3 linked regions of the Ovis aries genome follow. The protein of the gene in region 2 interacts with the protein of the main gene of each other region in a pairwise test. Links are inferred from orthologs where the notes say so. Each region holds a gene or a part of one and is shown on either strand. Other genes may lie near its edges. The genes, in order: TRIM55, TCAP and TTC19.

Evidence for each region.
Region 1: the proteins of TCAP (region 2) and TRIM55 interact in a two-hybrid assay, tested with the Homo sapiens proteins (2 studies listed by BioGRID and IntAct). The link is inferred for Ovis aries from reciprocal best matches to the Homo sapiens genes TCAP and TRIM55.
Region 3: the proteins of TCAP (region 2) and TTC19 interact in binary tests that used the Homo sapiens proteins (3 or more experiments, as listed by UniProt). The link is inferred for Ovis aries from reciprocal best matches to the Homo sapiens genes TCAP and TTC19.

Annotation. Positions count from the first base shown.
Region 1 is NC_056062.1:43,457,828-43,461,472, reverse strand, and holds part of TRIM55 (tripartite motif-containing protein 55), read right to left. Parts: coding exon 3,544-3,645; intron 1,329-3,543; coding exon 1,233-1,328; intron 1-1,232. UniProt on the Homo sapiens protein: E3 ubiquitin ligase that plays an important role in regulating cardiac development and contractility, muscle growth, metabolism, and fiber-type differentiation.
Region 2 is NC_056064.1:39,784,956-39,788,041, reverse strand, and holds TCAP (telethonin), read right to left. Parts: upstream 1,758-3,086; 5' UTR 1,738-1,757; coding exon 1,628-1,737; intron 1,396-1,627; coding exon 1,002-1,395; 3' UTR 541-1,001; downstream 1-540. UniProt on the Homo sapiens protein: Muscle assembly regulating factor. Mediates the antiparallel assembly of titin (TTN) molecules at the sarcomeric Z-disk.
Region 3 is NC_056064.1:33,235,624-33,240,043, reverse strand, and holds the start of TTC19 (tetratricopeptide repeat protein 19, mitochondrial), read left to right. Parts: upstream 1-1,617; 5' UTR 1,618-1,667; coding exon 1,668-1,836; intron 1,837-1,915; coding exon 1,916-2,028; intron 2,029-3,343; coding exon 3,344-3,454; intron 3,455-3,880; coding exon 3,881-3,919; intron 3,920-4,420. Other genes in the region: ZSWIM7 (zinc finger SWIM domain-containing protein 7), read right to left, coding at 1,419-1,509. UniProt on the Homo sapiens protein: Required for the preservation of the structural and functional integrity of mitochondrial respiratory complex III by allowing the physiological turnover of the Rieske protein UQCRFS1.

The sequences.
Region 1 (3,645 bases), on a different chromosome or scaffold from region 2:
ATTTATCAGGCACTCTCCATATGCCAGGCACTGTGCTAAGCATTATGCTTATACTTACTTAACTTTTCATGGTTAAACTCTATAAAATGGATACTTAGTTCCATTTTCCCAGGAGAAAACTGAAGGAATGAATGTACATGTGAATGGATCTTAAAGCATAATGTTTAATTTTAAAAAAATTAAGCAGAATGAGAAGTACAACACAATACCATTTATAAAATTAAAAGACATGCAGATAGCAATACACATTTTGTAAGAATACAGGTAAATGGAACACTGGGCTTCACTGGTGGCTCAGCAGTAAAGAATCTGTCTGCCAATGCAGGAGACACAGGTTCAGTACCTGGGTCAGGAAGATTCCCTGGAGAAGGAAATGGCAACCCACTCTAGCACTCTTGCCTGCGAAATCCCTTGGACAGAGAAGCCCAGTGGGCTAGAGTCAATGGGGTTGCAAACATCGGATACGACTTAGAGACTGAACAACAACACCATGCAGCTCAAATCTGCACACGACTTTTCTTAAGTGCCAAATAGCATTTCTTAAGACCATTTGGATTCCCACAAAAATTTTTTGCTTTAACAACACTCATTGTCATTACTTGGAAAATGATTTTTTATTTTAAATTTGGCCATGCCATGTGGCATGTGAGATCTTAGTGCTTGGACAGGGATTGAACTCAGAACCCCTGCATTAGAAGTTCAGAGTCTTAACCACTGGACTACCAGGGAAGTCCCCAAATTGATATTTCTTGTAGCTAACCCTTTAAAATGGGGTTTCCCAAGAAACACCACCGAATGTAACCACCACCTTGATCAATGTGGTAAAATCTGCCTTGTTCTCTTCCTGTGCCAGGAGGTGAATATTTTAGAGACACATCAGGAAGGAGGTTGGGCTGCCCAGGTGGCTCTAGTGATAAAGAACCCACCTGCAATGCAGGAGACATAAGAGATGTGGGTTCAATCCATGGGTCAGGAAGATCCCATGGAAGAGAGCAAGGCAACCACTGCCTAGAAAATCCCATGGACAAAGGAGCCTAGTGAGCTATGGTCATAGGGTCACAAAGAGTTGAACATGACTGAAGCAACTTAGCATGCACGCATGCAGAAGGGAGGTCATTCTATAAGGAAAGACTGAAATGTTGGAGCAGGGATTTCTACGGTTATGTCAAGGGAACCACAAAACCCCAAGAGCTTATGCGTGGCTTACCTTCCCTTGAAGCCACTTGACTCACCTCAATCGTCTTACAGGTGCTCTCCAGCTGGCTGATCACCCCCTGGACCCGATCGTTGCTTCCCACTAGGACAGCAATGCCATCACTGAGCTCGGACTAATGGAGAGAAAAGAGGGATTCAAGATTTTAGGGGCTTTCTAGTCCTCCACTGATTATGGGTTCATCTTAGTACTACTGTTCTCATGAGTTCTCAATTTAGGGTCCACAGAACCCCCTAATGAGGAACAGTGAGGCTGGGAGGTCTGAGAATCTCCTAATCTTATAAATAAAATCCTGGAAGGATCGGTGTATAAATGCATTTGTCTGGGAAGAAGTTTCACAGTTTTCATCAAATTCTTAATGAAGATGGTGACCCTTCCAAAAAACATTAAGAACACTGAATTATAGGCCATAGACAGCGAATAGCACATTCAAGCTAAATAATTCTAAGAACTGTTTATAAATTGAATGGAGACCAATATGTGACATCAAGGGGTCCAACATGAATTATTCGGACCTTTAATTATTTGAATTATAGTGCAGCTCAGGATCAGTTTTTTTTTTTTTTAAGATTTACATATTTATTTTTGGCTATGTTGGGTCTTTGTTGCTGCATGCAGGCTTCCTCTAGTTGCCACGAGTGCAGGCTACTCTTTGTTGTGGGGCACAGGCTTCTCATTGCAGTGGCTTCTCTTGTTGCAGAGCGTGAGTAGTTGTGGCACATGGGCTTAGTAGCTCCACAACATGTGGGATCTTCCCTAATAGGGATCGAACCCATGTCTCCTGCACTGGCAGGTGGATTCTTAACCACTGGACCACCAGGAAGCCTTCAGGATTAGTTTTACTAGGGAAATATTTCATTTATTCACCAAATACCTGTGATGCACCCTTCTCTGTACTAAATGCAAACAAATACTCGTATACTAGACTCAGTCATTATAGATTTGAAACTAACATTGCACTGTTTCTAGGGGAAAACATTTTTTTTTAGCTTAAAATTCCCCTCAGGCTCTTTTGATCTGAAGCGATTCCACTGTTCAGACTTAGGGAATGAATGGGACTCGGGAAACCTACATGCTTGGTCCAACTCTGCCTTTTAGCTTCTCTGTGATGTTGGGCAACTCTGTAATCAGTTTGGACCCTACTTGTCTCATACATAAAGTGAGAAGACTGGACCAGAACAGTGTTTGTAAAACATTTAAAGCTGCAGAACCCTTTTTCCAAATGGGAGCTAATATATAATCCCAGTGGATCAAATAATGCTGCTCTGGCCAAACAGGAGCAGGATGGAAGTCCTGTCAGCCTGCCTCTGTCCATCCTTCGTGGTCTCAGGGCTCTGAGGGGAATGGTGTGACCCAGGTACCATTCAGTTCTAATAGGCTGTGACTTTGGGGAGGGGCAGGTAAAAGGAAAAGGCAGGGAAGTCATAAGTGGATAGAACAAAAAATAACTGTATAGCTATTTTGCTAAATCCTGCTGCTTTAGCAGTTAGTACTCACTGGTTGTAACTGGAGTTGCCCAAAGGTTTGACTTCCAAATTTGATTCCCGTTCTATATTTGGTCAGTAAAACACTAACTGTGGAATCTGTGATTCTTAGAGGAAGAAGCTGAGATGTGGAGCTGCTCAAATCCTAGATGCTGAGACTCGGCCACAGCTCTCTGAGCCCACAACCCCTCGTTCATTTGCATCAAATGGGTAAGTTCCTACCTGCCTGTGCGCTATAGGCTGGCAGGTTAGCGATAAGCTGGGAGACCCCATATTTGCTCATAATGAGGGGGTGATGCTGAGGCCCTGGAGTGGGGGGTACATGTGTCAGACCCAAAGGAGGCCTTCTGGGCTGACCTAGGGGGACAGTTTAACCCAGGCATGAGGACTAGCCTAAGGAAACATTTAACAAAATGCCAGTCATCGTAACTCCACGAGATAGGAGTGGGAGAGAAGAGGCCTTGAGGAGGGCCAAAGGAATCTTTGGTTGATAAACATAGAAAAATATTCTGAGACTGGAGCAAGAGGTTATGCTTTTATTTCCTATGGGCTGAACCTCAGTGTTTGAGCAGCTTGAGCTTGGACTGGGCCCCATAATAGTATTCATCTTAAACCTGTAATGGTGGAAAAATAGCGACCTTTCCCCTCCACACCCCTTCCTGACCCTCTGCACCCTTCCCTCTCCCACCTTCCCCACCACTCTCCTGGGCATGCAGCAGTCCTTCCAGCTCTGCCAACGCCCTCCTCTCCCCTGCAGCCTCAGGGCCCTATGGTCCTGCCTGTGGGCATCTCTCCTTCAATCACACTTGGAAGGGGCTTTGGAGGAGGGGCAGGAGGGCGTGTTACCTTCTGCCTCTGGAACACGTGAGTGAGGGGAGCCACCTGGCAGTCCTTGTGCGCCCCAAAGACCTTGCACAGAGAGCAGGTGGGCACTTCGCAGTTGAGACA
Region 2 (3,086 bases):
TCTTCTAGTTAGGCCGGGCAGCCAGGTTGGGGCATGAGTTACTGCAACAGCTGCAGAGGTCACAGACAGGAACCTGACCCTCTACACACTCACCCTACCCCCAACAACCCACCTTGGGCTCCCAGGCCACGGAGGGTGGAACACCTGACCCCAGCCAAGGATTGATTCTGTCTGGATTCAGAACCAAGAGACCTGGGGTCACTGACCCCATCCACACCCTGGCACAGCTGACAGTCCTGGTGCCAGCCCCCTCCTTATTCTCCATGAGATCATTTCAATAAACTCTGGATGCCAACTGGCCTCCTGGGCACTGCACAGTGCCAGAGGACTAGAGGCAGAGGCCAGGGCTCACGGCAGTCAGGGGGACTAGGCAGATAGCCACCCTGTTTACAGCTCTGTCCCTACAGCCCCTCCCCTCAAGCATGGGGTGACCCACTAATTCTGCCATATTTAGCTGAGATGCAGGGCCTGTTCCCAGAAGTGAGCACTGGGGGGGACACCAATGGGTGGGCCCCTCAACCACAAGGAAAGAGACGAAACTCTGGCACGTGATTGAGCATTTATTGCAGCACTAACAGAGGGTGCTGGGGGCTCCACCCTGCCTCTGCCCTCTTCACGTCCCCCTCCCTCCAGTCTCCTTCCCAGAGCACTCCAGATCCTCTTACAGTTTTTCTTCATCCTTTTCTGAAGCTGAAATCTGGACTGGGGTTACTCCTCTCAGGAACCTCTTGCCCTCATCAGCTTCTTCAGCCCTTCCTCCTAGGGCTGGGGGTACTTGGCTGTGCTGGCCCCCAGCTCTTCACCTTTTGTGCCCATCGTCCGCTCCCCTCCCTCCGGGAACTCAGGAGATCCAGGCATCCTGGCCTCTGGCTCCCTCCTCCCCTAGCCCCCAACTCTGGGCAAACTACGAAGCATCCGTGACCAGCAGCTCCCCTCCATGGTCCTAGCCAGGAAGGGCCCAGCCCAGGGCAGGCACAGTGGAGCCCAAGTCACAGTCCCTCTCAGCCTCTCTGTGCTTCCTGAGACATGGAGCGAGACAGGGAGCGACGAAGGGTGCCGGGCTTGCTGACAGGCACCACGGGAGGCAGCTGCTTGGTGATCTCGGCCACGTCCTGGCGGTCCACACACTGGCCTCCCAGGGCTGTTTCCAGTGCCAGCAGCTCCTGCAGCTGGATGGGTGTCTCCTCGCGCTCCTCCTTGGTGGCGCCCACCTTGGCGGGAGTGAAGATGGGCAGAGGCAGCACCCGCTGGTAGGGCAGCTGGTATTCCTGCAGCCCACGGCCGAGGATGCCCATCCGCATCACCAGCCAGGGGGAACGCTGCACCAGCGCCTGGCACTGCCCCTGCCGGTGGTAGGTCTCATGGCGCTGGGCATCCTCCTCATGCAGGGAGCAACTGGGAAGGAGAAGCGGAGGGACACTCAGCCCCTGAGAGCTGCTGCCCGCCACTCACCGGCGGGGCGACAGAGCTCCCTGGGGCTGCTGGAGGGGCGACTCCACTTTCCCCAGCAGGCACCCTCCTGGGCCCCACCCCCAGAACCCCTCAGGCCTTGTGCTCTGGTCTCCTGAGTCTCAGGAAGGGTGCTCTGAGGGAGAGGACGGGGCACTCCTGACTGGCCAGCACTCACCCCTCCTCAGGCCTTGTGGACAGCGTCAGATCCTTCCACTCCGCCCAGAAGGCCTCTCGGCGCTCACAGTTCTCCTCCGACAGCTGGCAGCTCAGCTCTGAAGTGGCCATGATGGCTGCTCACTCCCTCTGGGCTCTCCTCCTCCCAGGCCCTTTAAATATCCCCCTCCTCCCCCTCTTTCAGGGGCTATTTTCAGCCCCTCTGGCGTCAGATGCTATAAGCAGAGCCAAGACTCACTGATGGGGGACTCTGAGCCCAGGGCGGGGCTGGGGGGGGGGTACCCGGATTCTGGCTGCCCCCAGGTCAGAGGTCAGCTTCTGAGGAGATCAAGATGCTCCCGTGGGGGCGGGGGTCCCCAGAGTGACACCTCCAGGTGTCTGACACTCCTCAAGACACTACCCATGACCAGGCACATGCCCAGCCTCGTGCCACCTTGGCACTTGCCGTCTGCCCCACCCCTTCCCCTCGCCCAGGGAGGACATGTCTGTAAACAGAGCGGGAAACAGTAGGAACCAAGGGCCCCTCTGGGCGCTGTACCAGGCCGTCAGGTCCTGTCCCCGCTGCTCTCCTCTGCCTGGGCTCAAGGGCACATCACCCCCTGGACCGTGCCCCCCCACCAAAAGGGACAGTGCCATTCCTCAGGCGTCTGCCCCCAAAGGCCTGGCTCCCAACTGCCACCACCTCACTGGCAAGGGCATCGGAAGTTAATTCCACCCCTGGGATCCTGGACACGAACGAGGAGGGAAGCGGCCCCCGACTCTACCCCACTCCTCAGCTGGGGTGAGATGGGACTCCAGCGGTTCCAGTGGGTGGCAGCCAGTTCTGGCTCCAGCCCCCAAATCAGCCATAATGAGGCTGTGGAGTAGGGGGCGGCATCCACCCCCTCTGGGCCTCGTTTTCCTCACTTTCTGTTCACAGTGGCCTTACCAGAAGAGCTCTGGGGGCTGCCAGCTCCAAGGTGCCACCAGGCGGGGCCTGGCTCTGGTCCCCAGGGAGCAGGCCAGTTGAAGGGCTTGCAGGGACAGCCCCGCCCCCCAGAGCAGCAGTGTGTGCGACAGGAGGCTGGCACACAGGGAGGAGGGCGTGGGGGAGGAGCAGCGGGGGTGTCACTGAGTGGACAAAGCAAAGGGCACCAGGAAGGCCAGGGGCAGAGGCTGTGATGAGACCCTAGCAGGCAGGCCCGTGGGCACCCTCTTGATTACTGAGCACTATACCCGATCCTTGGTGCCTTCATCTTACACAGCTTTAGCAAAGTGGGAAATGGAGGCTCAGGCAGGCAGACCTGCCCGGGGTCACATGCCTAGCCGGGCCCAAGAGGCAACACCCCCACCCCTGAGTCTATGCAAGTTAGCACCTCAGGAAGCCTGCAGGGAGGGAAGGAGGGCCATTTCCTGGTGGTCCCAAGTGTGACGGGCAGAGAGAGGAGGTGAGCAGAGCCCAGAGGTGCCTCAGTGACCCA
Region 3 (4,420 bases), about 6.5 Mb from region 2:
AAACTATCAATTAAGTCTCAGGACAGGAGAATATGTGCTCTATAAAATAAGACAGTAAACTGAGAAAAAGAAAACTGTACAGTATACAAAACATTAAGGCTCAAAGTAGGTAAAGGGAATTCCCTAGACAGTAATGGTGGGGGAGATCTCAGGAGAGCACCCTGGAAGCTCTAGAAGAAAATGAAATGGACAAAACACCTCAGCATCTTGAGTAGAGGATTCAGAACACTGCTAAGAGTTTGAAGTTGAATTATGGATGTGTGTGTGTTTGTGTTAGCCACTTAGTCATGTTTGACTCTTTTCGACCCTATGGACTGTAGCCCGCCAGGCTCCTGTCCATGGAATTCTCCAGGCAGGACTACTGGAGTGGGTTGCCATTTCTTTCTCTAGGGGATCTTCCTGACCCAGGGATCAAACCTGGGTCTCCTACATTGCTGGCAGATTCCTTACCATCTGAGCTAAAAGGAAGTTATTGAATTAGGGATAAACATATAGAAAAGTAAACAACCAAACAAATGCAATCATGACAGTTTTGAGAGGAAGCAAAAAGTTACAGTAAAGAAGTAGTCATCACTTACTACATGGCTCAGCTGTGACTATATTTTACATCATATAAGTGTAAACTCAGAATACTGATCTAAAGAAAATTATCGTCGAAGGAGGGGGCTCAGGAAGAGTGTATGACTGTCTAAGAACAAAGATTTTTAACTAGAAGAAAATGGCTCTGAAAAACGTGAATCGGTGATAGTAGTCTCTATGAGCCCCAAGCCTCAGGGGCGCCCCCTTCAAGACTCTCACACTGTGCTCTTCACACACAACCCTTTCTGGCAACCACTGTTTGAGCTGTCAACAGACTGGTTTCTCCCCCAAGCTTTTTGGGATTAGAGGATGTTCGAATACCTGGCTCGCCTCATCTTTTAAGCACATGTACTGCTTTAGATTTAACTGAAATGAGAAAAGTTGGCTTCCTCCTCTCAATTCTTTAAAAAACAAGTCAAGGTAAATCCTTTTCAAAGTGCGGTCCTTTGCAAACAAACGCCGCCCAAGTGAACCAGCAAGGTTCACTGAAGCCTAACCGATGTTTTGGATGGTCATTCAGATGGCGGCGGTGGCGCCAGCTCTAACGGGGACGCGCTCTGGCCCCGTGCGCTTGCGGCCAGGGGAGTCTGGTCACAGAGCGTCCTCTGCTGGTCAGAGGAATAAAGGCACAGCCACAGCGTCCAGACCCCTCAAGTCCTGCATCTGGGGCCCTGAAACAGTCACTCGTGCACAGAGGTCAGGAGGGGAACCTTTTGGAACAAACACAGACCGCGGGAAGGAAGGGCTACAGGCGAGTTAAGAGGGCGGAGACCTCCCCAGTGGGCCCGGACCCCCGAACCCCGTCCCGCCGGCGCTGCTTCCCGCGCCCCCGCCCATACTCGGCGCGCCGTCCCGCACAGCCGCCGCCATCTCGCTCAGCAGCTCCTCCACCACAGCTGGTAACGTGAGAGGCCCAGTCGGAGCCGCCATGGCGGTCCCGCGTTCTCCGGGGCAGGGGAGGAAGGCGAGGTGACGTAGACTTGCGTCCCGGCGCATGCGGGCGGTCCGGCCAATCGGCGGGCGTTCGGCGCCAGGGGCGGGACTTCCGGAGCCCGTGGCCGCAGTGCGCAGAGGACGCTCTGGGGGCCATGTACCGGCGTCTGGCTGTGGGCCTGGCCCGAGGTCTGTTGCGGGTGGCGGAACGGCGGGGCCGCTGCTACCCGGTGTGCCTGCTGCCCGGGCCGCCGGGAGTTCGGGCGCCGCCGTGCCGAGGGGCGCCGCGCGGCCGAGGCTCGGGCCTACTGCCGCTGCTGGCAGGTGAGGGGTGCAGGCCGGCGGGCCGGGCGGGCCGGGCTGGTTGGGCTGAGCACGGTGACCTCAGTGCCCCTTCCTGCAGCGCTCGCCTGGTCCTCGAGGCCCGCGGCGGCGGAGCAGGAGCGACGGGGCGCGGGCGGGGCTGCAGCCGGGGACGCCGAAGCCGAGATCATCCAGCTGCTGAAGCGAGCCAAGGTGAGGGGCTGCAGCACGTCCCTCGACTACGGGGACCCGGGTGGACGGAGTCGTGGGGTCCGTGCGTTGGGCGCAGGTGGAGGCGGCGCTGCCGGTTGCGAGGTTGCGAGCGCGGGGAGAAGTGCGCACAGGCTGAGGGGAGCGAGGCGGGCCTCTTCTTCCTGAACGTTTTCCCCTCTTCCCGGGGTGCCGGGTCTCCTCCTTTGCGCTGACCGCCGCCTCATGCCCACCGCGTCCACCCGAGTGCCCGCACACGGCAGGTGCGGCCCGCATGCCAACTCTATTTGAGGCTTCAGCTGACCCAAACGAACCTGTGGTCTTAGGCACCCCTCCGACCCCTTCCCTCAGTACCTCTTCTTTTCTGTAGTCTGCCCCATTCTGAGAACTTGTGTGGTACCTACCTACCACCTCCCATATACCAAGAATCCAGCAACGAATTTTTGTATTTTGCCACCAAATCCAAAATCTCGAACCTGTCGCCTCTTCGGTGTCTCCTCCTGTCGCCCTGGCCACGCTGCCACAGCCTGCAGTCTTGTCTGCCCTGTTGCCCCCTGCCATCCAGGCTTGACAGCAACTGGATCATTTAAATGTAAATCAGCTGGTGTCATTCCGTGCCCACAAGCCTTGATTGACCCGTCACAGCGTTTGTGGTAGAACCCAGACTCCTTGCCCTGGCTGGTGAGACCTATGGTCCCACCCCATTGCCTCCCTACTTGGCAGTAACAGTCACCATCAGTTGACATCTGTTGACTTTCATTGTTTGAGTGGTTCTTGAAAGTCCGTTATCTTCAGTCTGTAGCACCTTCGCTCCTTCCCTGCTGTCTGTTTGGGTCAGTTTCCCCCATAGTTCCTTCCTTAGTTGGCTGTTTTTCTTTTTACCTCAATTTAACTGTCGCTTCCTTGGGCGGCTTCTCTTGACTCCATTTGAAGGAAACCCCTTGTTCCTTTCTCTTGCCTTTCTTCGCCTGTATCATTGGTTGTGATTGAGCCCCACCTGTCCTGCAGGAAGAGTGGAGGAGGATGTAGGGCCAGCAGCTCCGCTATAAGAGCTCGTGAAAAGTGCTCACAATCCTGCTGCCTATGTCAGCCAGTGTGCTATATCTGTGGCCATGCGGAGCTGCAGGGGAGCCCCTCTCCAGTCCCCACTGCAGACACCATGCCTTTGCAGAGCAGGGATTCAATAAGTGTTTGAGGAATGAATGACTAGCTTCCCTCTGTGTACTGGGACACGTAGCCCATACTCGCTTCTGTCTGGCGGTGCATGTCTCTGTTCTTTTCGTGTTTCAGTTTCTTTTATTTTGTTTTCTCTTTTCAGTTATGCATCATGAAAGATGAGCCAGAAGAGGCAGAGCTGATTTTGCATGATGCTCTTCATCTTGCCCACAAGAGTCACAACACGAAGGCCATTGCTTACACTTATGACTTGGTAACTCCTCTGACCAGTCTGAGCCGCCGCCAGTGGTGCAGGAGAAGGGCTGTTAGTGTTCCTGATTAGTATTCCTGACCTGCAGGATGTCTCTCTGGGTTTTGTTTTTACTAAGTTTTCTTTAGCTTTCCATTTTTATTACCCTTGAACTGTCACCTGTAAGAAACCTCAACCCCAGACCGAAAAGAAACAGTTAACATTAATATTTGTGTTCTCAGTGAAGAGTGGATCTAGAATTGTTATCATCAAAGTCTATGCACGTACTCTCACCCCATTGCTGAACTTTGCTTCTAGCAGATTAGCAACAGTTTCTGGACTGTTTTTTTAGATAGAAGGTGAAAGCAAAGGGGAGTTTTCAGTGTAAAGATTTTGAAGTAAGTGGAAACAATGCTTTAAACTGAAAAACAACTTATAATCTGCTTTCAGATGGCGAACTTAGCATTTATAAGGGGTCAGCTTGAAAATGTAAGTAAATCATGTTGTAATGTTGTGAATTTGTGAATGGCTAGCTTCAAGGGACCTCTGCACATAAGGGTACAGGCAAAGCTTCTGTAACAAAGAGACCCCAAGATAAAGTGACTGAAATAAGAAGGAAGCGTATCCCTTTAATGCATTAGTCCAGAGGCGGCTGAATCCTGAAGAGGGGTGGGCACTTCTACCCCATGAAGTGACCCAGGAGCCCACATTCCTTCTAAGATGTATTCTCGCCTGAGTACGAGCACTGGCTCACCTCCAGCTGTGGGCAGGGAGAGGATGGAGGGCCAGCAGCGTCCTTGTGAAGTACGCTGTTGAAGCTGTTTGTGTAAACTGCGTGCATCTCTTGGCCGCAGCCTCCTCATATGATTACACCTGAAATGCAAAGGAAGGACCCTTGACCTAGTGGAAACTGAGGAGACTGTACCAGAAAAGGGTAGTTTGCAGTCTCTGCCACAGTGGGTTTGGGTGGGAAGTTGATCTCTGAAGCTG